Astyanax mexicanus: one gene and its partner. The protein of the gene in region 1 interacts with the protein of each later gene in a pairwise test. Links are inferred from orthologs where the notes say so. Each region holds a gene or a part of one and is shown on either strand. Other genes may lie near its edges.

Region 1 (11,561 bases):
CTAACATAGATGTGCAAATGCACACATACACAATTGGCTAGGCCCTGTAAAGAAGTACTGCCAATAGAGTACGAATCTGGAGCAGATAAATATGAACCTGTTGGCACCATGTCTAATGCCAGCAAAAACTCCACAAAAAATAGCTACTCCAACAATAGAAAGACCATTTTTCCCAATTCCCAAGACTTCAGAAGAATCTATGAATGAGCAGGTATTCCCATAATACAGGTGTCCATACAGTGTATGTATATACATATATATATACATATATAAGAAATTTTACTTTTGACGGTTAATTTGTACATTAGCTATTTTTTTTCAGGATGAGTGTAAAAGCTGCTTTCAGTAAAGCTAGGGCTGCATTATAACACCATTAGTTAAGACAACCTGAGAGAGTAGGTTTTAAACTGAAGGTCTGTTAACTTTGAAGTCATTTGAAAGTGTCTTAATGGATGTGCGACACCTAGAATGAGTAGGTGTGGCTTCGCAAAACAGACAAGACAAATTATTTGATGTAATTTAACAATGCCATCCTGAACACATGTTCTGGTTGTATCACTCGTTTAAAAACTTAGAAATGCATTCAAAGAAATCGGTCAGGATCTGACTGCATATTTCATCATTGTGTCAGTTCATGTAGCTCTCGTCACTGGAATGAAGCGCATATTTTTTTCCTTTAAGAAGGAAGACCCGTTATGTCTGTATGTAAAATGCTGTGTGTTTTACTTTGAATAGAAATGTACTAATTTCTCCTGCAGCCCAACTCTGTCTGTGTTTAAAGTTTTAAAGCTAATCTTTCGTTTGAGTGAGAATGCTTCTTTGGTAGATCTCCTATCTCTCCTTGTGTATAACTTATTGTTAAACCTTTTTTATTAATCAACTCATTACAATTTAATGGTTTTATCTTTTCACAGGTGGAATTTATAACTTAGTTATTGACAAGCATGACTGTGTATTTTTTCCATCAGAGAAATAAGCTAATATAAGTACCGGTAATATACATTTTAACGAACAGGTTGTAAAAGAAAATAGTGTTAGTAAAGGTACAGAAGTGCCAGTGGAAGCTTAAATAAGTTGGTCTATGTTAAATCACACTAACGAGTGTAAAGATATCTGGTAGAATTTGATTTAGAATTTTGATCAGTTATTTGAGTTATGATCATACCTTGTTGATGAGCTGTGTTGTTTGTGCACAATCCTGGAAAATATGAGAACAAATGTCACTCAGTTGTATATACTGATTTATATGAGTGATATGTTTGTTATTGTCTATTTAAAAGAAATCAGACTCATAGCCAGTGGTGCGTAACTTATAACTGACAGTTTAACATACATAAATACATTGTTTTGGGGTGAAAACTTGGTATGTAAGCATCAGCTTGTCATTTTCAACATGCTTACTAGCTTCACATTTTGCATTGTTCTAATAAAATTGCATTAAATTCCTAATGTGTGGCTTTTTCCCATTAATCCTCATTTTATGTTTTGTGCTCTCAACTTAGTCACAACCTTTTTTACACAACCACTTAGTGTTCAACAAGCCCAAATGATATTATACCGTATTTTTTTGGACTATAAGGCGCACCTAAAATGCTTCATTTTCGCCAAAATCGTCAGTGTGCCTTAACGTTATAATCCATTGCTCCTTATGTATGAATTCCAACAGCCAGGTTGTAAGGGGGTAAGTAAAGCTACCAGTACTGATAAATTACATAGTATAAGGGAGATAACTGGGGCTGAGAATCACTGTTAACTGGGCTAGTTAGCCCAGCTAACCACGGCTGGCTATGCTGCTAACAGTAGCTGGTTATACTGCTAACCAGGGCTAGCTAGCATTGCAAACCGCAGTTGCCTATGCTGCTAACCACAGCTAGCACTCACATTTGGACAAATTACTGGAATTCTAAGCTTACTGTAAATAAACAGAAGCGCTTTACTTACCCAAATAAATAGTTTTCAGTAGAAAAATCTGTGTATATTAACATCCAGCGCTCGTTTAAATGTTTTTTAAAAAATTACAGTTTTGTTTACTTAGGCGCTTCTCCATTAGAGGGGAAACATGGCGACACCCATGCTAGCAAAATGTTACTCCAGCAAAAAATCAGGACTATACCGTAAATTCACATAGCCTTCTAGGTTTTAGAAAGGAACTGTTTTATGTAATGTCATCTAAACACTGTTAATGTGTTTTTCCAAATGTACCTTCCCCTAAAAAAGTAAAAAAAAAAAAATATATATATATATATATATAAGAAAACATGCATTTCATTGTTTGTGACAAAGACCAACTAAGTATTGTAAAATAGCATGATGAATAATTCAAAATAAATGAGATCTGGGAAAAACCATTTAATATCATGCATTCATTTCATAAGTCTCAATAAAATAAGCAATGACTGGTCAAACAAACAACAAACTGAATAACTGGTTTGGTAGATGAAGCCATAGAAAAATATGTAAAGTATGAGCCTTTTAATCCGTAGTTAGTCAGACTTCATTGGATAATCACAGTCAACAAAATCCTCATGTAAAAAATGCAGTCTTAATGTGGTAAAGGAACTTCCTCGTAAGTAATTTGGATGTACGGTGCCTTCATTGGCAGGTGCCAGTACTCAAAGTTGTAGTACAAATAGAATGTCTTCTCCAGTACTACTTTTTTGTAGGCTTCCATCAGACTGAGGATGAACTGAATCATTGATTGATGAGGCTGGAAAGAGTGGTAAAACTCTCTAATATCTGTAGCCAGAGCTTTCATGGAGGACTGGCCGAAGATAGAGTCATCGTCGCCGAGGTAGGTCGGCTCTCCGCTGTACAGGTATATTTTGGTATAGTTTGTCTGACTTCTGCTCGAGAGCTTGGCTCCCAGCTCTTTGATTTTCCTGTATGTGCGATGTACAAACTGTGAGCAGTCATATGATTCAAACCATGTTGTGGAGTTGAGCCCTGGGTCTGAGCGCACTGTCCATGTCTCATAATAAATCCCTGTCTCATTGTCCTCCTGAACCCATCGTGCCAGATTGTTAAACTGCTCACCTAAGAAAAAGAAGAGAAAAACTGTCAGTGACCTTTGTTGTTAAGCCTGTGAATTACACCATTAACTGTATGTACTAAAACCTTCTGCACTGAGCACAGTACCTGACATTTCTCCCACTTTCTCCAGTGTTCCATTTTGTCGCCAGTGCTCGTCATCTATGCCCTCATAGAAGCATGCAGCGCCTTGATTACACCAAAAAGGAGCTGCTGTGTCCTTTCGTAAATGAGGAAAAGTGCAGTTTCCAAGCTGAAAAAGCTCATACCATTCCATAGTATAGTTTCTTCCTGTCTCTGAGCTGGAAAAACCAATGGCATCGTGCATTATATGCTGAAACAAAAAGAAATAGGGCACTTACTACTGTGATCCATGAGAGACTATGCGTTACAAGACTATGAGATAAGTGGGTTGCTAAGTAAGATTTCTTTTTTAAGGATTATAAGACATTACCTTAGAATAGAACACTATTAAAACAGTGTAACTAACTGTATTAATGCAAATATGTTTTTTTTATCTGATAATGTGATACCCTAACAACAATCCCAAACTTATAACAAACTTATCCTGGTTAAACTTTGATCACAGTCAAGCAAAAACTAGTGTCCTCAAAATAACAACTTCACAGTAGGCCAGTCACAGAAATGATTGCACTATTATTGAAGAGACCATTTAAATGCCACTGACAAAGTGATAATAGAACAGCAAAACAAAGCATTCGTTCCCTTTTAAAGACAACACCTTTGTAATTAATCATAGTTTAATGAATTTATTTAGGGAATTTATTGTTACTTTTTCCCCCCCATATATACTTTTTACACCTACTGTTGTCCACACTGTGTGTGTTTAGCAGTTATTTTGCAGTTATTAAAGCATGTGAAGAAGCATACAAATAAATACAATATGATATCATGGTTATTAAAATGATTGAGGTAATGTCCATTTATTGTACTATAAGTAATTATCGTAAAAGGCTTAATTCACAGGAACTTCACATTCCTCCTTCCTTAATTTAGACCCAAATAAGAACTGCCAGAAAAATACCACTGTTTTTATTTACTAATTCATTACTAATAGTGAAGTAATTAAATAGCTAGAATTATGTTAGATGGTTTAAGTTTAGTTTAGTCTGGATTTTTAAGACTTTTTCTTGGAGTTTATGGAACAGTACAAGGACTCTTTCCGAGATTTTTCTAAATAAAATACATTTTCCGAGGAGGAGAAAAATAGAAGTTATTTTAAAGCGTTTATTTTGGTCCAGTTATTATGTTTTTTTACAACATAAAGAATAACTGTCGAATCCAAATTATTTTAAAAGTAAGTGAGAAAGTGGCAAAAATATATATATTTTTTTGGTGACAGTGATTAATGCATTCTGCAATAAGAACTTACAAATTTTCCCAAGAGATCCCCGTATTTAAATTCCCACACTGGAGTCTGCAGCCGAAACACAGAGATCACATCAGAGTCCCTCATGTAGGGAATACGACCATCAGGGTCTCCGGTGGGGCAGAAGGGGTAGAGAGCTTGACAGTATGGGTCAGTGACTGGACGACGGTCAAATCGCCTGTTTCAAAAGAGAAACACACTGCAGTGACTGTGAGTGTGAGTGAGGCCTGTAATCTAATATAAGCAGCAATATAAGCAAGCATTGTGGACCATCTGAATGGTGCTTGTCACTATATAATACCAGTCAGCTGAACTGTGGAATAAAAAAAACATGCTAGTCTCTGGAGTGATCTAACACTGGTTATCTAGACTAACTAACGTCAATACTAAAAGACTAGGTTTACAAAAAAAATAAAAATAAAACATACACAGAAGCTACACCACTGCATGAACACAGTTGAAACAGTCGGATAAATAATACACAGTTCTTACTTGTAAGGAACAGGCCAATCTTGAGTCCCATAAACACTCTGATCAGAGCTGATCAGGGCTAGAAAGCAGATCTGCAGAAGTGAGTAAAAACAGCGTGCTGGACTCATCTTCAGGCCCGTGTTCATGCTGGACTCCGTGCAGCGAAACTTTCCTCCACTCCGTCCACTCACTTCCTTGTTTTGCTTTTGCTAAATGACTGAGGGCACGTGGTACTGCAACAAGTATGTCACGAGGCCAAAACCGTTTTGTGGACACTATTTTAACTGTGAACCGCTAGAGGAAGCCCGCGAGTTAGTTCTCAGTGAATGGAGTGGAATGGAGCTAAACGGCTAAAACACAATTATAAAAGTAATTAATTTTCTTGTCGAGACATTCTAACTGTACAACTGTAGAAAGTAGACTAAAATATTTTGCTAAAAGATCAGAGAATTACTGCTACTGTGTGCTGACTGCTTGTTGAACTGATGCAGATGAAGTTAAAGCTAGAGAACCTTAAATGAGTTTAAAAGGATTATAACTGGGTAATAGATTATGTATGCACTAATTAAACATTTAATATTGTTCTTTGTTGGAAAAACGAGTACATTTTTCAGTTTAAAAATGATCAAACGTTTATAAAATATGATTTTGCTCACATGATCTACATAAACTTTATCCCACTGCACTCTGCAGTGTATTCATAGTTAGATTGAACCTACTACTGCACTATACGCACCTGTAAATAGCAATGTAACATCTATATTTGCACAGATATACATCTCTGAAAAAGAATAAGAGACCACTTTTGTTTCTGAATCATTTTCTCTGATTTTGCTATTTATAGGTATATGTTTAAGTAAAATGAATATTGTTGTTTTATTCTATAAATTACAGACAACATTTTCCCCCAAATTCCAAATAAAAATCTAGTAATTTAGAACCTTTATTTGCAGAAAATGAGAGATGACAAATAAATATGAAGAAGACTTCATATTCATAAAGTTTTAAGAGTTAAGAAATCAATATTTGGTGGAATGACCCTGTTTTTAAATACAGTTTTCATTCATCTTGGCATGTTCTCCTCCACCAGTCTTTCACATTGCTTTTGGATAACTTTATGCCACTACTGGTGCAAAAATACAAGCAGTTCAGCTTGATTTGATGGCTTGTGATCATTCAGCTTCCTCTAGAAGACTATTTTCAATTTGGTAAAAATCAAAGAAATTGTTTTTAAGTGTTCTCTCATTTATTCCAGAGCTGTATTAGTATTGTATGTTTATTTATGTGTATATATGTTTTGTTATGTTGTAAGTATTGTGTTTGTTCTGTACACAATTTTGTCACTCACCTCAGCACTTGTACTTATATGTGATGTGACATATAATCTAGTGTCTATCAAACCCAGAACATACTCTTAAGTAAGTATTATTGCACAAATTCCTACGCTCCAATCTCCAGCTCCATGATTGGCCAGTAGTTCAGTGTAGTAATTAAATTGTTTGAACTGCTTATTTTCTAGCCAATAAAACTGCACGAAGCGGGGTTTGTCAGAATGCAGGTGTTTTAAAATAAATGTGTTTTATAAAAACATAACTTGTGATAGGAAACATAAGTATATGTTATATATATAAGTATATGTATAATACAGAAAAAGCAGAGCATGATATGATACGTCAAAATAATTAAACCATGAAAACGTCTACAAATAAGCAAAACTTTTTCACATTCGTTACTCAGGTAGATTTATAAATACTAATGTTTTATTATTCCAGTAAACTAAGTAAGGTATTTATATTATTTTTTTTGAATATTTGTACTCAGTTAATTCATTTAACATTAATTCATTTAACATTAACATTAATTCAGTTAACATTTCAAACAAGCAGAGTTTGAATAATGTTTCGCAGCTGCTGTCTGCTGGAGGAACAGAGAGTTTAACCGCAGAGGCAAAAGGTTAAAAATGTTCACTGTGGAATTAAATAAGCGAAATGAAAGAGAAAAACCCTGAGAAATAATTGATTCATTTTCAATAGTCGACCAGCTGCTGGAGAGATCAGTTGGCGGATTCTGCGCATGTCTGTTGTAGTCCGTGCACGCGCATTGTCATGGTAACAGAAAGCGTTTCTTTACCGCTCCTCGACTGCGCCCGTTTACTGCTGGGTTTCTTTGTTAACTGAGAAAAAACGATGTCAGACTCCGGATCTGAAATCCTAGAGGATGAGCAGAAGTCAGCTGGAGTAAGTTGGTGTGTGTGTGTGTGTGTGTGTGTGTGTGCTGTGTGTGTGCTCTGGTGTCAGTAGCTGTGAGTGAGTTAGTAACTGTGGTGGTGTGTGTGCGTGTTGTCTGCGTGTGTGTGTGTGTGCTCTACTTAATGTCAGTAAGTTAGCTGTGGGTGAGTTAATAACTGTGCTAGTGTGTTTGTGTGTGTGTGTGCTGTGGTGAGAGTCGGTAGCTGTGGGTGAGTTAGTAACTATGCTGGTATGTGTGTTGTGTGTGTTTTTGTGTATGTGCTCTGGTCAGTGTCAGTAGCTGTGGGTAAGTTAGTAACTGTGCTGGTGTGTGTGTGTGTGTGTGTGTGTGTGTTCTGTAGTGAGTGTCAGTAGCTGTGGGTGATTTAGTAACTGTGCTGGGCTGGTGTGTGTGCTCTAGTGTCAGTAGCTGTGAGTGAGTTAATAACTGTGGTGGTGGCGTGTATGTTGTCTGTGTGTGTTTGTGTGCTGTGGTGAGAGTCAGTAGCTGTGGGTGAGTTAGTAACTATGCTGGTATGCGTGTGTATTTGTGTGTGTGCTCTGGTCAGTGTCAGTAGCTGTGGGTGAGTTAGTAACTGTGGTGGTGGTGTTGTGTGTGTGTGTGTGTGTGCGTGTGTGCTCTGGTTAGTGTCAGTAGCTGTGGGTGTGTTAGTAACTGTGCTGGTGTGTGTGTGTGCTCTGGTTAGTGTCAGTAGCTGTGGGTGAGTTAGTAACTGTGCAGGTGTGTGTGTGCTGTGGTAATTGTCAGTAGCTGTGGGTAAGTTAGTAACTGTGCTGGTGTGTGTGTGTGTGTGTGTGTGTGTGTGTGCTGTAGTAAGTGTCAGTAGTTGTGGGTGAGTTAGTAACTGTAAATGTGTCAGTAGCTGTGGGTAAGTTAGTAACTGTGCTGGTGTGTTTGTGCTGTAGTGAGTGTCAGTAGCTGTGGGTGAGTTAGTTACTGTGCTGGTGTGTGTGTGCTGTAGTGAGTGTCAGTAGCTGTGGGTGAGTTAGTAACTGTAACTGTGTCAGTAGGTGTTGGTGGGTGATTTAGTAACTGTGCTGGTGTGTGTTTATTAGGAGTACAGTGGGGAGCGGAATGAAGCCGGGGAGAGACACGGCTCTGGCAAAGCGGTTCTGCCCAACGGAGACATTTACGAAGGACAGTATGAACACGGGAAAAGATCCGGGAAGGTATTTAATTTAAACACATAGAGCACCCATTAGCAAAAACTGCATCTGTGTGGACCAAGAGAAATTACTTGTATTTAATTGAATTATTATTACTTGTATTAATTACAATGTTTTAAACTTGTATTTAAAATAGATTATTTTTTTTGTAATATTTATGATTTAGTACCTTACCTTACCTTCTTCCCGCAAGTTGCTGTTGTTTTTATGTTTTTAACAAAAACTAAAAGCTGAAATGTATAAATTTTCAGGGAACATACATATTCAGGAATCAAGCTCGATATATAGGGGAATATTACCTGAACCTAAAACATGGACAGGGCATTTTCTACTACCCAGACGGTTCCAAGTATGAAGGTGAGAGTTTAAAAAAAATCTTCAGAATAAGTAGAGTTCATTACTTTAAAGGTTCAGAATACAGTCTGTCTGTTCTGTTTCCTTCCTGTTCTCTGTTAGGTTTCTGGGTGGAAGACCAGCGGCAAGGTCATGGCGTTTATACATATTCCAATGGGGACACATATGATGGAGAGTGGGTGCAGCATCAGAGGTAAAACTGACAACCCAGTCCTCATAACTCACTATAATAGGCTATCTTTTATACATAGCATTTATTCTGTCAAGGAAAGTGTAGTTATGCATATTTTTTCTTACACCAGGGCAGTTCTTTACAAACATACAAGCAAAGAAAAGATCTTAATTTAGCTAAAATGGTTTATATGATATAAAAAAATAGACCAAAATAAATATTGATTACCATGAAAATATCCCATGGATAATTTTCAGTAAATCATGAATAACCAATAATTTTAAGGGCTGCAAAATGGAAATATGTATTTATATAAGCATATTTGAACTATAAGAGTCACAATGAGAGGACAAGGCCTTCTAAGGGGAGCACCCTGACTCATCCAGAAAACTGAATCATAAACAGATGCTACCAACAATAGCAAGGTCTATTATCTACTGACTTTTCCTAACTCTCCTTTTCTCTTCACTTCACAGGCATGGCCAGGGAGTGTACACATACCATGATACAGGCCTTAAGTACACTGGCACATGGGTCAAGGGTAAGATGGAGTCCGCTGGAGAGTTTATACACCTAAGCTACAGATACCAGGGCAACTTTTTCAACAATAAAGTAAGTCAGTTCTTTTTCACTCACATGCCACTGCACTTTGCTTTAAATGAATGCATTGATTTCTGTTGCATCAGTATTATGTTCTTTAAAATCACTTTTATTTTCAGCCCATAGGTCAAGGGAAGTATATATACGATAATGGCTTTGAACAGCACGGAGAGTATGTGCAGGTGGAGCAGGTCAGTTCTTGAATCTAAATGTGTTATATTGAGGAGTTTTATTAAGGTATACATTTGAAGTATATATGTTTCAGTTTTTAGTTCAAGCTAGTCAGCTTCCTTCTGTCTTGCATTATGATGAATGTGTGGTATGAAGCATGTGTATGAATACAGTCGTGACTAACACTCTCATATATACGGAGCCCGGGAGGGGCCGTGGATAAAAAAAATAATAAAATCGAGTGAACGATGTAGCAGTTCGTGCTCACGTTTTCTTTAATTCGAGTGAACGATTTGCAATTCGTGCTCACGATTTCTTTAATTCGTGCTCACGATTTCTGTAATTCGTGCGCACGATTTCTGTAATTCGAGTGAACGATTTCTGTAATTCGTGCTCACGTTTTTATGCGCAATAAGACAAGAAGCTCGGAGGGAAAGGAGCATTTTCTCTCTTGATCTGTTACAGGGGTGCAGTAATGATAATCAGTTATCTACCTTTATAACCTGCTGTTATTAATGCACTAGTGTTACAGTTAGATGTACAGTACAGTGAGCAGATTTTGCCTGGTGGTGGAATCTCTACAGCGCGTGGGGGAGAGCCGTCCGCGGCATCGGTTCCCCCGCCGCCAGACACCTGCCGCGCGCGCAGGTCTTCACGGAGCTTATTTACCAACAATGTAGACAAATACAGTCAATTCCAGTCATGAATAAAGGAAACAAACATTTTACTGATGCAGGACAACTGTGTGTTATTAAAACCAGATCAAAACAAAGTTATAATGCAATGTGCAAATGTGTTTATTAATTTCTAAATAACATTCAGCCAGCCTCCAAGGAAATGCACACCTTCTTAAATCTGGTTACATCATTATTACTTTTATGATAGATTTAATCTATATTTTAATAATTTGTATAATAAATAAACACATAATTCAGAAAATATACATTTAAGAAGTTTATAATTATTATATTTTTTTTATTTGAAGCTTGTGGCATGTTTCTGGGCAGGACACTGTGATTTGAGAATAAGCAGATATTCAGGACATTTCATCAGATATAGAAACTTAATTATTTTAGGAAACATATTGGAATAAATTATCAAATTGATCCAAATTATTATATGAAATGCCTATTTACTAAATATCTTAATACATTGTATTAATAGTATTTTAGACCAGCTATTTTGATTTTATATAGTGTTACATATTTAAAGCAGCTCTTATATGAGCCATTCATAGACAACTGTCACACCTTGCATTAATTTTGTATTATCTTTATTAACTTTTACAGTGTACATTTGGACCTAAGTCTTATAGCTGTATATTTATATAATTATACTTCTTTACGTTATACTATTGTTGGAAATAAGAAATTATAAACAGTTCCACATTGCATTATAACTTTGTTTTGATCTGGTTTTAATAACACACAGTTATCCTGCATTAGTAATGTTTGTTTCCTTTAATCATGACTGGAATTGACTGTATTTGTCTACATTGTTGGTAAATAAGCTCCGTGAAGACCTGCGCGCGCGGCAGGTGTCTGGCGGCGGGGGAACCGATGCCGCGGACGGCTCTCCCCCACGCGCTGTAGAGATTCCACCACCAGGCAAAATCTGCTCACTGTACTGTACATCTAACTGTAACACTAGTGCATTAATAACAGCAGGTTATAAAGGTAGATAACTGATTATCATTACTGCACCCCTGTAACAGATCAAGAGAGAAAATGCTCCTTTCCCTCCGAGCTTCTTGTCTTATTGCGCATAAAAACGTGAGCACGAATTACAGAAATCGTTCACTCGAATTACAGAAATCGTGCGCACGAATTACAGAAATCGTGAGCACGAATTAAAGAAATCGTGAGCACGAATTGCAAATCGTTCACTCGAATTAAAGAAAACGTGAGCACGAACTGCTACATCGTTCACTCGATTTAATTGTTTTTTTTATCCACGGCCC
Region 2 (11,209 bases), on another chromosome or scaffold:
GAACCAACTGCACCCGCACAAACACCTTCATACACACAATGTTCTAAGGATTGGGACAACTCATGCCCAACTCATCCCCCCACCCCAACTCTGCTCAATTCACCCCCAACTCCTCTTTACTCATGTCAACTAATCCCCAACTCCTCTTAACTCATCTCAACTCCTCCCTAAATCCTTTTAAATAATCTCAACTAATCCTCCACTCCCGTCACCTCAAACTCCCCTCAACTCATCCACAACTCCCCTGACCTTATCCCTAACTCATCTCAACTCCTCTCATTTCCAACTTCCCTTAATTCATCCATAACTCCCCTTAAGGTCACCCCCAACTCTTCTCAACCCCCTTAACTCCCCACCTCATTTTCAAGTGCCAATATCTTCAAGTTTATTAAATGAGTCACCCAGTTCTCCCAGCCCAATGATGTGCTTCCTCTTCCTATTTTTAGGAAACATTTACAGTTAAAGGTTTTCATAAAGGGAATGTCGGCCAGTAACATTGTCGCTCTCAGATGTGGGAGAAAGTCAGTAACAACTGAACTTTATTCAGCATCATTTAAACATACATCATCATGATCATCACACAGACACACACACATACACACTCTCTCGTCCCTTTGACCATCAGTGTATCTCCCAGCAAAAAAGGTAAATAAAGTGGACCTGTGATTCTTTGTAAACATTCATGCATTGACCCGAAACCCGAAACCGAGCAAAGTTTGTTTGCCTACTGAAGCTACAGCGCTACGATGGCAAGGAGCACAGAGTCCAACCCCCAAATCACCATCCTAACAGCAACAGAGCCGAGCTGGAGAGTCCGGGTCCGGATGCGCCCTGGGGTTCTGAACACCTTGCTGGATCGAGGCCAGGCAGTCAGAGCAGAATTCCAGGGCGGACCCGGACCCGGACTCGCCACACTTAAACAAAGCAAAAAATAAACGGTACAGGGTGAAATGTGAGGATCTCTGGGTTACTCCCCAAACCCTTAGGGTCGCAGTCTCTTTAGCGTTCAGAGATACGGCACCGCCGAGCTCCATGGTGCCCCACAGTGGCTCCTGGCTGTCGGTTCAGTCACTCTTGTGCTCGATTTCCTCCTGGTTCTTCAGGAGCTTCTGGTGGACCACCTTTAGTGTTGTCAGGAAGTTCCCCAGGAACAGCACCAGGAATGTTAGCGCCAACATGAACACCTGCAAAGAGCAACAGTTGTAACGTTTTGCTAAGGTAATGATTAATGATCGAACTAGGAATGAGCTGTTTACCTGCCACTCTTTGCAGTCTTCGCGAGCAGACAGCCGGAACAGAGTCACTGAGTTATACAGCTGCCAGAACTGCACACAAAACACACTCCAGTTATTACTCACACTCTACACACCCCACAGGAGACCCCACAGGAGAGACCACAATAGAGCAGCTATTATTATTTGGTTGGTGCACTATTCTCAGTACAGCAGTTTAGTACTGCAGTGTTGAGAATAACGACCCACCACTCAAATAATAATAGCTGCTCTGTGAGTATTGAAGAACAGAATGAAAGGAGATAAATAATAAAGTATTAGAAAAACAGATACAGAACTACAGTCTGTAAATATTATACAACTACTGAGTGAAATATTTGAGCAGTGGAGCTAAAGATATACTGGATAATATGTGTAGAAACAAGGCAGTTGTCATAAGGTTATGCTTGATTGGTGTATGTATATACACACACACTGCAGTGTTTGTTTCTGAAGTATCTGCTTATTAAAGTACTCAGTGTGTGATTTTAGAGTTCTGGGGAAGAGCAGTATGTTCTGATGTAATCAGCAGACACAGATGAATGATAAACACCGGAGAACTGTTTTAAATACAGTGTGTATAGGGTAAGGTAATGCCAGATGAGGTTATTTAAGGTAAGGTAATGTTAGGTATGGTAATGTGAGATAAGGCAGCTACAGTAATGATGGTACTCACATGTCCAAAGAAGAGAAATGGCAGCAGGAAGGTTAAACCCCTCCACATCCATGACTGGAACCCCTCTACAACACACACCATACGGCTTTTTATTATTGTGTATTTTATTTCCTCTTCAGCTGCTTTAGATTAATAAACAGAGGATTTTCCACTGTATGCCGAGTTTAATGTTGATCTGAGTTTAGATATCGGGTGCAGGGAATTAAACCCTCTTCTGCCACGGAGATGGTGGAGTGATTACCCACTACACTAAACACTGGTCCATACCACCTAAACTCCTCCCACTGCTGATACTGAGTGCTGATTGGTCAGTGTTATTGTTGCTGTGTGTTTATTGGTTGGTGTTATTGTTGCTTATTAATTAATTGTTTAGAAAGCCTTGTTCTGAAGCTCTATGGATTCTTTAAAGCACCCCCTGGTATCTGATCGTGATGCTGCAGGTTCTGTTGGTGACTGGGCTCACCTACGGTCAGGTCCAGCTGGTTCCTCTCCCCCAGAGCCCGGAGCCGATACAGACACCCACTCTGATAATAATATTGCAGAAACTGTACTAAACCTGCAACACACACACAAAGTCAAACATTAACACAGGGACACACAGCTTGGAGTAACAATGGGTGTGTCCCAACTGTGATCACACTGCACTTGGAGAACCTGCAGTGATGCATGTTGGCGTAGCAACACCATATAACTTCCTGTTATTACTAAATTAGATAGTATATTAATATTTAGTGCACGAACCTACCAAACCCGCACTATTAATATAAAATAATCTATAACTTACAGTATTAGAGTGTAGGACACCATTGGGACACAGCCAGAGTGTGTGTGTGTGTGTGTGTGTGTGTGTGTCTTACTCTGGTAAATGGAGAAGGCGAGGAATTGACTCCTGAACAGTTGATATATCGCCCCCTCAGGCCTGAAACAGAACAGCAAATTTACATATTACATTTTCAGCCGTTTAGCCACGCTCATTTAACCTATTACAGTTTAGCCATTCAGTCTACAGCCGATTAGTCCCGCCCATTCCGTCTAAAGCCCTTTAGCCCCACCCATTAGGTCTACAGAAGTTCAGATAAAGCTGTATATGGGTTCTGATGAATATAATAGGGTCAATTATCTGAATCTCACCAGGTGAGCATCACTCCCGACAGGAAGGTCGACACGTAGTGATGTGACACCCACCAGCCCTTAATCCTGCAGGGGAAAATAATTAACATATATCAGATTATAACAGTATTACTAATTATTAATATAATAACTGCAGTAATAACAGAGTGATGTAATAGGAAGAGGTGGAGTCTGATCTGACCTGGAGCCGTTACTCATCAGTATACTCTCCCGGATGGTCAGAGTGCAGTAATACCACACCAACAAAAAATTAAAGATTTCATCTGTAACACTGCAACACACACACACACGTTTTCTATACACAAACAGCAATATAATTAGTCATCACTATTAATGCACACTAGAGTTGGCCGGGTTTAGCAGTTGTCGTGCAAGTTTTGGTAGTTGTCTGGAGGGGTTTGGCCGTTGTTGGGCGGAGTTTGGCAGTGGGAGGAGGCATGTGATGCTCTGATTGGTGGATGTACGGTGCAGGCGGACTCACCGGTAGTTAAGCAGGAAGAGACAGGTAACAGCGCCGAACATTAGGATTATAGTCATATAAAGCTTAAACTTCTCATATTCATCTTTATACGCAAACCTGAAACACACATCAGCGATATTTATCCAATTAATAATCAGGAAAAAGTGTAATATTTTCATAATTTGCAATGATTTATGGGACTTACTTTGCCTGATTACTCAGTAGTGTAACATTCACATTCCCCAGGACCAGATTTAAATACAGCCTGTAGAACAAAGAACCACAATCAATCCAACAGAACCACCGTAACAACAATGCCCAGCCCCAGAGGACTGAGGGGTGCAACTGAGTGCTGGGCAGAAAAAAGGGAGACAGAAGGTCTCAGTAATTTGATCATAATCAGCTGCTGCTGTGCTGATTATCCGATTATTACTGTTACAGAACGCACTGATCTGATTACTTACCCGTTCCTCTTTGGTAAATAAGATTCCATATCAAAGAACACATTCTGCTTCTCCTTAATCTGAGTCTGCAGATCAGCGATCACCTCCGATTGGTCCGCATCACATGCCTTTGCACACCTGAATACATTCATCACATTGTAACATTATATTGTTCTTATTATATTATATCATTATAATGTATATATACATTAATCACATTATATACATTTAAATCACACAATTTCACACACCTGCTTATATTAATCACATTAATTAACATATCACAGCACATCAATTTTATGCAATCGCACACGTTTGAAACAAAACATATAATTACATTAATTACATCACACACAATCACATCACATAAAACGAAAGACAACACTCTAACATACATCAGTTACATCCCACTAACTAAATCACATCATATTAATCAAAACACAATTAAACCACTTATGACTAAAACCAGTCATACCATAACATCAGTCCATATCAGTCACCCCCCATTAATCACAAACACACACACAATCACATCATATCATACCAATCATAGCATTGTATTATGGCTCAGCTGACCAACCAGAAACCAGGTTATACTAAACTGAACTATAGTAAAGTAAAGTTGAGGTGAAGTGAGCTGAAGTGTAAACAGAATCCAGGATTTGGATCCTGATCCGGATCCGGTCGTGATACGTACTTGTGGAGCGTTTTCCGGAGCTCTTTAAGGCCTTTCCTCTGTTTGCAGATGGAGCTACTGCAGATGGCCTGCAAGCTGGTCAGCTCCTCCAGCTTCTGCCTGTACACTTTATGAGTCTCCTAAACAAAAACAGGGGAAGTGAGCAAATTTAGTAGGGGCAGTGATTTGGATAGCCTCCTGAAGGATGTATGGAGTGTTTGTAAGTGTTTATTTATTTTATTTAATTCTTGTAAGTGACGAGGTAAAAGACTAAAGCTGGATTTAACTCAATGTGATGTTATGACACATCATATCAAAAACAAATGCTGTAAATATAGCATATTTGGGAGCTTTACGTAAAAATCCCCTTCGCGATTTCGCTCCGACTCCCTGGCTGGATCCGCTGCAGCGGAGCCATACAGGGAGTCGGAGCGAAATCCCGGAGCGGGTTTATACTTAATGTCCTCCATCTAGCTTTAGCTAGTAAGTACAGGCTTCGTAAGTGGTTACTGACCTCCAGGGATGTAAAGACAAGCTAATCATTATGAAATATAATCAGCAAATCAATCAAACAATAACAAAACATAAAACTTAAACAACTAAACACTGCCAAATCCACCTTTCAGCAGGCATGGTAGCCACCATATCCAGGGTTAGACCTGATTATACCCACATATACACACTTTACCACCTTATCACTCATTAATACTGATCAAAAATCAATCCCCAGGCTAATCAATTACTCCCCCAAACCTGTAGCTGCTGATATTCCTGCTCTATTTCCCTCCAGTCACTCTCACAGCGCTCCAGTGACATTGTAGCCGCGTCCACACTCAATACACTGTCCCTCGCTGCCCGCGGACGAGTTCCAATACCCTCACTCGTGTCCTACGAAGTACGCTTGAGTTCCAGGGCGTGCTGGTGTTTGCGGGGTTGGTGTTCTTCGTGAACGGAGTTCTGCCGCCTGCGGGAGGATTTGGAGCAGAACTCGAGAAAAAACAAGAAGAAAACGCAGGACAGAAAGTTCCTCGCTGATTAAGGGCTCGAGGAAGGGAGCGAGGGCGCATAAAGGGACGCGGCCCGTTCTGCCACTTAGCGCTGACTGGCTGCTGTGCTTCTTCTGCGCGTCATACTTGGAGTATCAGCGCTCCCTGGCGCCGCCTACCGAGTGCAGCCTGTAATCTGTAATCAGCAGCTCCGATCTGTTTTAGAATAAAATTAATATTAATATTTAAAATGATGAATATAGTTTCTAAGCAGTAAATATAATAAATATTTATATTTATAACGTTTACTGACTAACACTAATTCATTCAGAGCCGAGTTTAAAAATTTTTTTTTAAACACAACTCTGAATCAGTTTTCAATGGTCACGTGGTCACAAGAGTCGATTCCCCATGAATTCTATGCAAACTTTATAACCTAGAAATAATCTTAAAAAATGTTATTACAAAATTCATAATCCTGTTACATTATCAGCTAAAATAACTAACCTGTCTTTTTAATGAGTGAGTGTGAAGGTGACGACTCCTGATTCCCAAACTCGCGAAATTTGAGAATCGACTCCTTTAAGAATCGACTTCGTTAAGAATCGACTTCCAGCCCTTCCAAGCCTCGGTTTAAAGCTTTAAAACTTTTTTATTAAAGTATATAAAGTTAATTCTCTGTTTAGGAAATATTTAACTTTACAGATATTAATTTCCTCATGTTTTTAGATACTTTTTTAACTCAAAATGACTGATATATACAAATCCTTTATAAATAAATTAATGTTTAGAAGTAAGAAATATTACTAGTATTGTGAGAAAATTCGGTATAAAGATTATTTACTGTCGGTATTATATATTTATACACTCTGTAGTTTAGCAGTTTTAATAGCTTTATTATATATCTTATTTGTATTGATGAAAGTAAACAGTAATAAAGTACAGGGCCGTGTTTGTGTAGGTTTCAGTAGTGAAGGGAGGAAGGGTAGCTCCCGAATTGGGACAATTTAAATGAGGCAGTTTGGAACACAGCCGGGTTGCCATGATACGCAGTAAACAAAATGCGGCCGATAAAGTTACTGATCTGCAGATTCACCACAAACTCGCCAGAACCAGAACCGAGTCACAGCCTCCAGAACTGAGTTAAAGCCTTTAGAACCGAGTCACAGCCTCCAGAACAGAATTAGAGCCTCCAGAACCGAATTAGAGCCTCCAGAAACGATTTATAACCTCAAGAAGTGAGTTTAAGTCTCCAGAACCAGAACGGAGTTACAGCCTTCAGAACCAGAAGCAGGACTGAGTTACAGCCTCCAGAACCAGAACTGAGTCACAGCCTCTAGAAACAGTACCAAGTCATAGCCTCCAGAACTAAATTACAGACACCAGAACTGAGTGACAGCCTCCGGAACTGAGTCACAGCCTTCAGAACCAGAACCAAAACTGAGTTACAGCCACCAGAACCGAGTAACAGCTTTTAAGAAAGGGGTTACAGAATCCTAAAGCGAGTTACAGCCTTCAGAACTGGGTTACAGAATCCAGAACCGAGTTACAGCCTCTAGAAACGAGTTAAAGCAGCTGAACCCAGCTCTGCTGAGCCTGAGACCCACTCTGAACCCCAGAACCAGGTCCAGTTAACTTGGAGCGATGTCTCTCACCAGACTGTGGGACAAGAAGGCGGAGAAGAACGGTGTTCTCCGGACGGTGTTCTCTGTTACTGGTGACCAGTACACTGGAGAGTGGCTGCAGAACCGCAAACATGGTACCAAGATCCACAACATTCTCCTTATGGTTCTGCTCTATTTGCACTATTGAACTAACTATATGCATTACTAAACTTTATACCCACTACTGAACTAACTATACATTGTACTGAACTAACTAACACACTACTAAACTAAGTCTGCACACACTGAACTAACTCTATACAAAAAATACTGAACTAACTATACAGACTACTAAAATATCTGTGCACACATTAACTAACTATACGCATTACTAAACTTTATACACACTGCTGAACTTACACTATGCATTACTGAACTCTACACACTACAGATCTATTTCTATGCACTCTGCTAAATTAAATATACATATACTGAACTGTACAGGATACTGAGTTATATGTGTTATGGTGAGTGCTAAGGGTGCCGATTGCTCTACTGTGTGCAGGTAAGGGAACTCAGGTGTGGAAAAGGGCAGGTGTGGTTTATGATGGTGAGTGGAGGTTTGGGAAGCGGGATGGTTTCGGCACTTTGAGCAAACAGTCGCCACCCTCTAACAACTACGAGGTGATTTACTCAGGAGAATGGAAAAACGACAAGAAGGAGGTGAGTCTACTGGGAGGGCCCTAACTTTTATAGGCTGAATGGGGAGGGTTAAAATGCTGAATGGGTGGAGCCAAACAGCTGAAGGGCTGAATTGGTGGGGCTAAACTTCTGAAGAGCTGAATGAGTGGGGCTAAACCTCTGAAAAGCAGAATGGTTGGAGCTAAACTTTTGGAGGACTAAATGGGTGTGACTAAATGTGTTTGTGTGTTTAGGGTTTTGGAATGGAGGTCTACAGCCCCAGCTCATTGTATGAGGGTCAGTGGGTGGAGCATGAGAGAAGTGGCTCAGGCAGGATGTTCTACCCCAATGGAGATGTTTATGAGGGGGAGTGGCTGAAGGACAAACCACATGGACAGGGCGTCCTAACACTTGGTACTGACCACACACCCAGTTATATAAGCCTGTACCCCACCAATTAGAATAGTGCTAACCTCATGGCTAAATCCTCACATAATGGAATTATCAGTTCAACCTTAAATGGTGCAGAAGTTTTATTAGAACACTGTACAGGTGTCTCCTGCAGTTTTCTGTCAGTTATATGAGGTTGTTTTTGCCTTGTCTTACCAGCATATGCGGTACATCTCCTGAGGTTTCTTGGTCTTCCAGAGCTCATCTTGACATCCACAGTTCCCCTGAACTGCCCTAAATTCTTTAACAAAACTGTCCGTTCCACCTTAAATAATACAGCTGCTGTAGCAGCATTCAGACAGGTAGCTAATTTATTTATGTCTGTGTGTTGAAGCAAACGGGAACAGGTATGAAGGAAGCTGGAAAGACGGGAGGAAAAACGGACCCGGTTGCTTTTTCTACCTGGATAAAGGTCAGCTGTACGAGGGGTTCTGGGTGGACGACGTGGCGAAGTGTGGTACGATGTGCGATTTCGGACGAGAGCATGCAGCCACACCCACAGTTTATCCCATCCCTCAGGTAAAAATTACATTTAATATATTTACATATTTAGCTTATAGACTACAAAAAATATTGTTGGTGGCTGTGATCAAAATAGCTCCCTATTTACTATTTTCTCGGAGTGTCCTAAGAGCACCATAAACACTCCCATAATTGATTTATAGTACACATCGCTGTATAATACATGAGCTAAATGTGTCTCAAAATGTTAAGTTTCGGTCCCATCCAATCCATAGTCTGCTTTAAAGTCTCCACCCATTTAGCCTGCATCATATATGGATATATTTATTGAATTATAGGAACTTTAAACTTTCTAAGGCCCTAATTAGTCTTACTAAAGTTACTGCTTTATTACTCTACATGGTGGAGCTATAATCAAATAAATAGGGTTAATTCCATAATAACTGATATTTGATTATTTAGGAGTATTTTATTCTCTTCAGTAACACAGATGCTGTGAAGTATCGCAGCGAACTGTCTTGTGATATATCGAGTATAGCAAAATCACAGTATTGGGATAATATTGTATCGTGAGGTGCCCCGTGAATCAGACCTCTAATCAATACAAATATTCACATTAAGGTTCTTTAGAGGCGTGGTTTATCTCTAAAGAGTGCACATGTGTGAGGTCAGGTGTGCCCTCTCCTCAGGTGCAGCTGCAGGATGCTGAAAGTGTGTTACTGGAGGGAATTGCCGACTGTTCCAACATCGGAGAGCAACACCAGTACGACAAGAGCAGCCCAGAAACACCTGAGTGAAAACACACCTGCTCAACTCACAGTCAGAACCCCCCACCCCATGTCTGATTATCACACACTCTGAACTGAGAGACTGGAAGTTAAAACAGATTATAGCTGTATATAAACATAATTATAATTATGACTTTAAATGTGTGTTTATTGATGAAGGATTATGGGTAATGGTGGTTGTATTGTGGTGAAACTGCGGCAGTAAACACTAAAAGGTCAATATTAGAATTATTAAAAAAAGAATCAGTATATATTTTAGTTATTCTATTGCTGAGAAGCCAGAGAATCACTGCTCAGACATGGGTTTATGAGATTCAGTTTTATTGGATTAAAATGTTTATGAAGTTTATGACAAAAATGTTCCAGTTCTTATCCAGTAAACAATAAAATAATACAAACAGGCTCCACCTTCCTCCTCATGTAAACAGTTAATATTTGTGTCTTATTCTATTTGGTCATAAAATTAATATTCTGTAAACAGCCAGTGGAATCAATCTGCAGCCGTGCTAATTCCGCTAACTCAGACGGACACACTTTCACATTAAAACTGCTTCGGTCAGATTCTCCTTAAACACAGTTATTTAACTTAAGAAATTTATCCAAAATCTAAAAACCTGAACTTAAACACTATAAACATCATAGTTTTCCCTTAGCTAATCAGGCTAACTGTGAAATTAGCCCTCTGAGACCCGTTTTTCAACATAAAGGTTTCAGAAACTTTACCATTACTATAATGTAAACATTCATTTTCTGTAAAGTGCTCACCAGATCAACATTTAATTAAAACTGATATTAAACTGAAATATTTGTATATATTGAGAGGAGCAGAACACTGACATTGTTCTGATTATCTCTCTCTGATATCGAATCCAGTGTTTATGTAAACACTGTAAGAGAGGAGAGTGAGATGCTGTAAGGGGTAAATCATTATGTTCACGATGTCGTTATGCGGAATTAGGAGTGTATGTCATACAGTTAGCGCTTACCGCTTCGTTCAACACAGGCAGCTAATCAGTTCTGTTAGATCAGAGTCTGAATAAAAACTGTAAACTGAAGTGTCTTCATCAACAAATTGCTTCGATCTGCTCACATGATCAATAAACACAATGACACAACTGTAATCTAAAAACAGATAAATATTAAATAATAATGAGCTTATGATCGGACTGCAGTCACCGGACAGAATAACGTTACGGACAGTTTGTTTTAAGCGTTTAACAAGCATTTCATCGCATGCCACAATCAGACCCGCAGCCACGTTCACATTACAGGAATAATCAGACCTGATCACTGAGTGAAAATTTATCAGTTTCAGATCAACTTTACTTTATATCAATGTGGGTAATCAAATAATTGGGGAAAACTTCAGAGTAACAGGAGTTAGATAATAATCAGATTTCTATTTTTAAACCAGCCAATAAACTCACAGATACGTAAACTTTAAACCTTCTTAAGTGAATTACACGACTTATGTTAAAATAGACCTGCTTTACCCATATATATATATATATATATATATATATATATATATATATATATATATGTTGTAACAGTTTTTATGGGTTATTTGTGCTGATTTCC

Evidence for each region.
Region 2: the proteins of rsph1 (region 1) and morn3 interact in binary tests that used the Homo sapiens proteins (3 or more experiments, as listed by UniProt). The two-hybrid records come from large-scale screens. The link is inferred for Astyanax mexicanus from reciprocal best matches to the Homo sapiens genes RSPH1 and MORN3.

The regions. Positions count from the first base shown.
Region 1 is NC_064418.1:27,595,353-27,606,913, reverse strand, and holds the start of rsph1 (radial spoke head 1 homolog), read left to right. Parts: upstream 1-6,961; 5' UTR 6,962-7,074; coding exon 7,075-7,125; intron 7,126-8,193; coding exon 8,194-8,307; intron 8,308-8,555; coding exon 8,556-8,661; intron 8,662-8,760; coding exon 8,761-8,851; intron 8,852-9,306; coding exon 9,307-9,442; intron 9,443-9,549; coding exon 9,550-9,621; intron 9,622-11,561. Other genes in the region: cln5 (ceroid-lipofuscinosis neuronal protein 5), read right to left, coding at 2,543-3,033, 3,136-3,361, 4,421-4,595, 4,910-5,034.
Region 2 is NC_064427.1:22,463,518-22,474,726, reverse strand, and holds morn3 (MORN repeat-containing protein 3), read left to right. Parts: upstream 1-6,543; 5' UTR 6,544-7,287; coding exon 7,288-7,402; intron 7,403-7,812; coding exon 7,813-7,970; intron 7,971-8,182; coding exon 8,183-8,342; intron 8,343-8,712; coding exon 8,713-8,897; intron 8,898-9,529; coding exon 9,530-9,637; 3' UTR 9,638-9,761; downstream 9,762-11,209. Other genes in the region: tmem120b (transmembrane protein 120B), read right to left, coding at 1,065-1,184, 1,257-1,325, 1,948-2,012, 2,411-2,503, 2,805-2,866, 3,079-3,144, 3,260-3,349, 3,560-3,655 and 4 more. UniProt on the Homo sapiens protein: Assembles a suppression complex (suppresome) by tethering SIRT1 and MDM2 to regulate composite modifications of p53/TP53.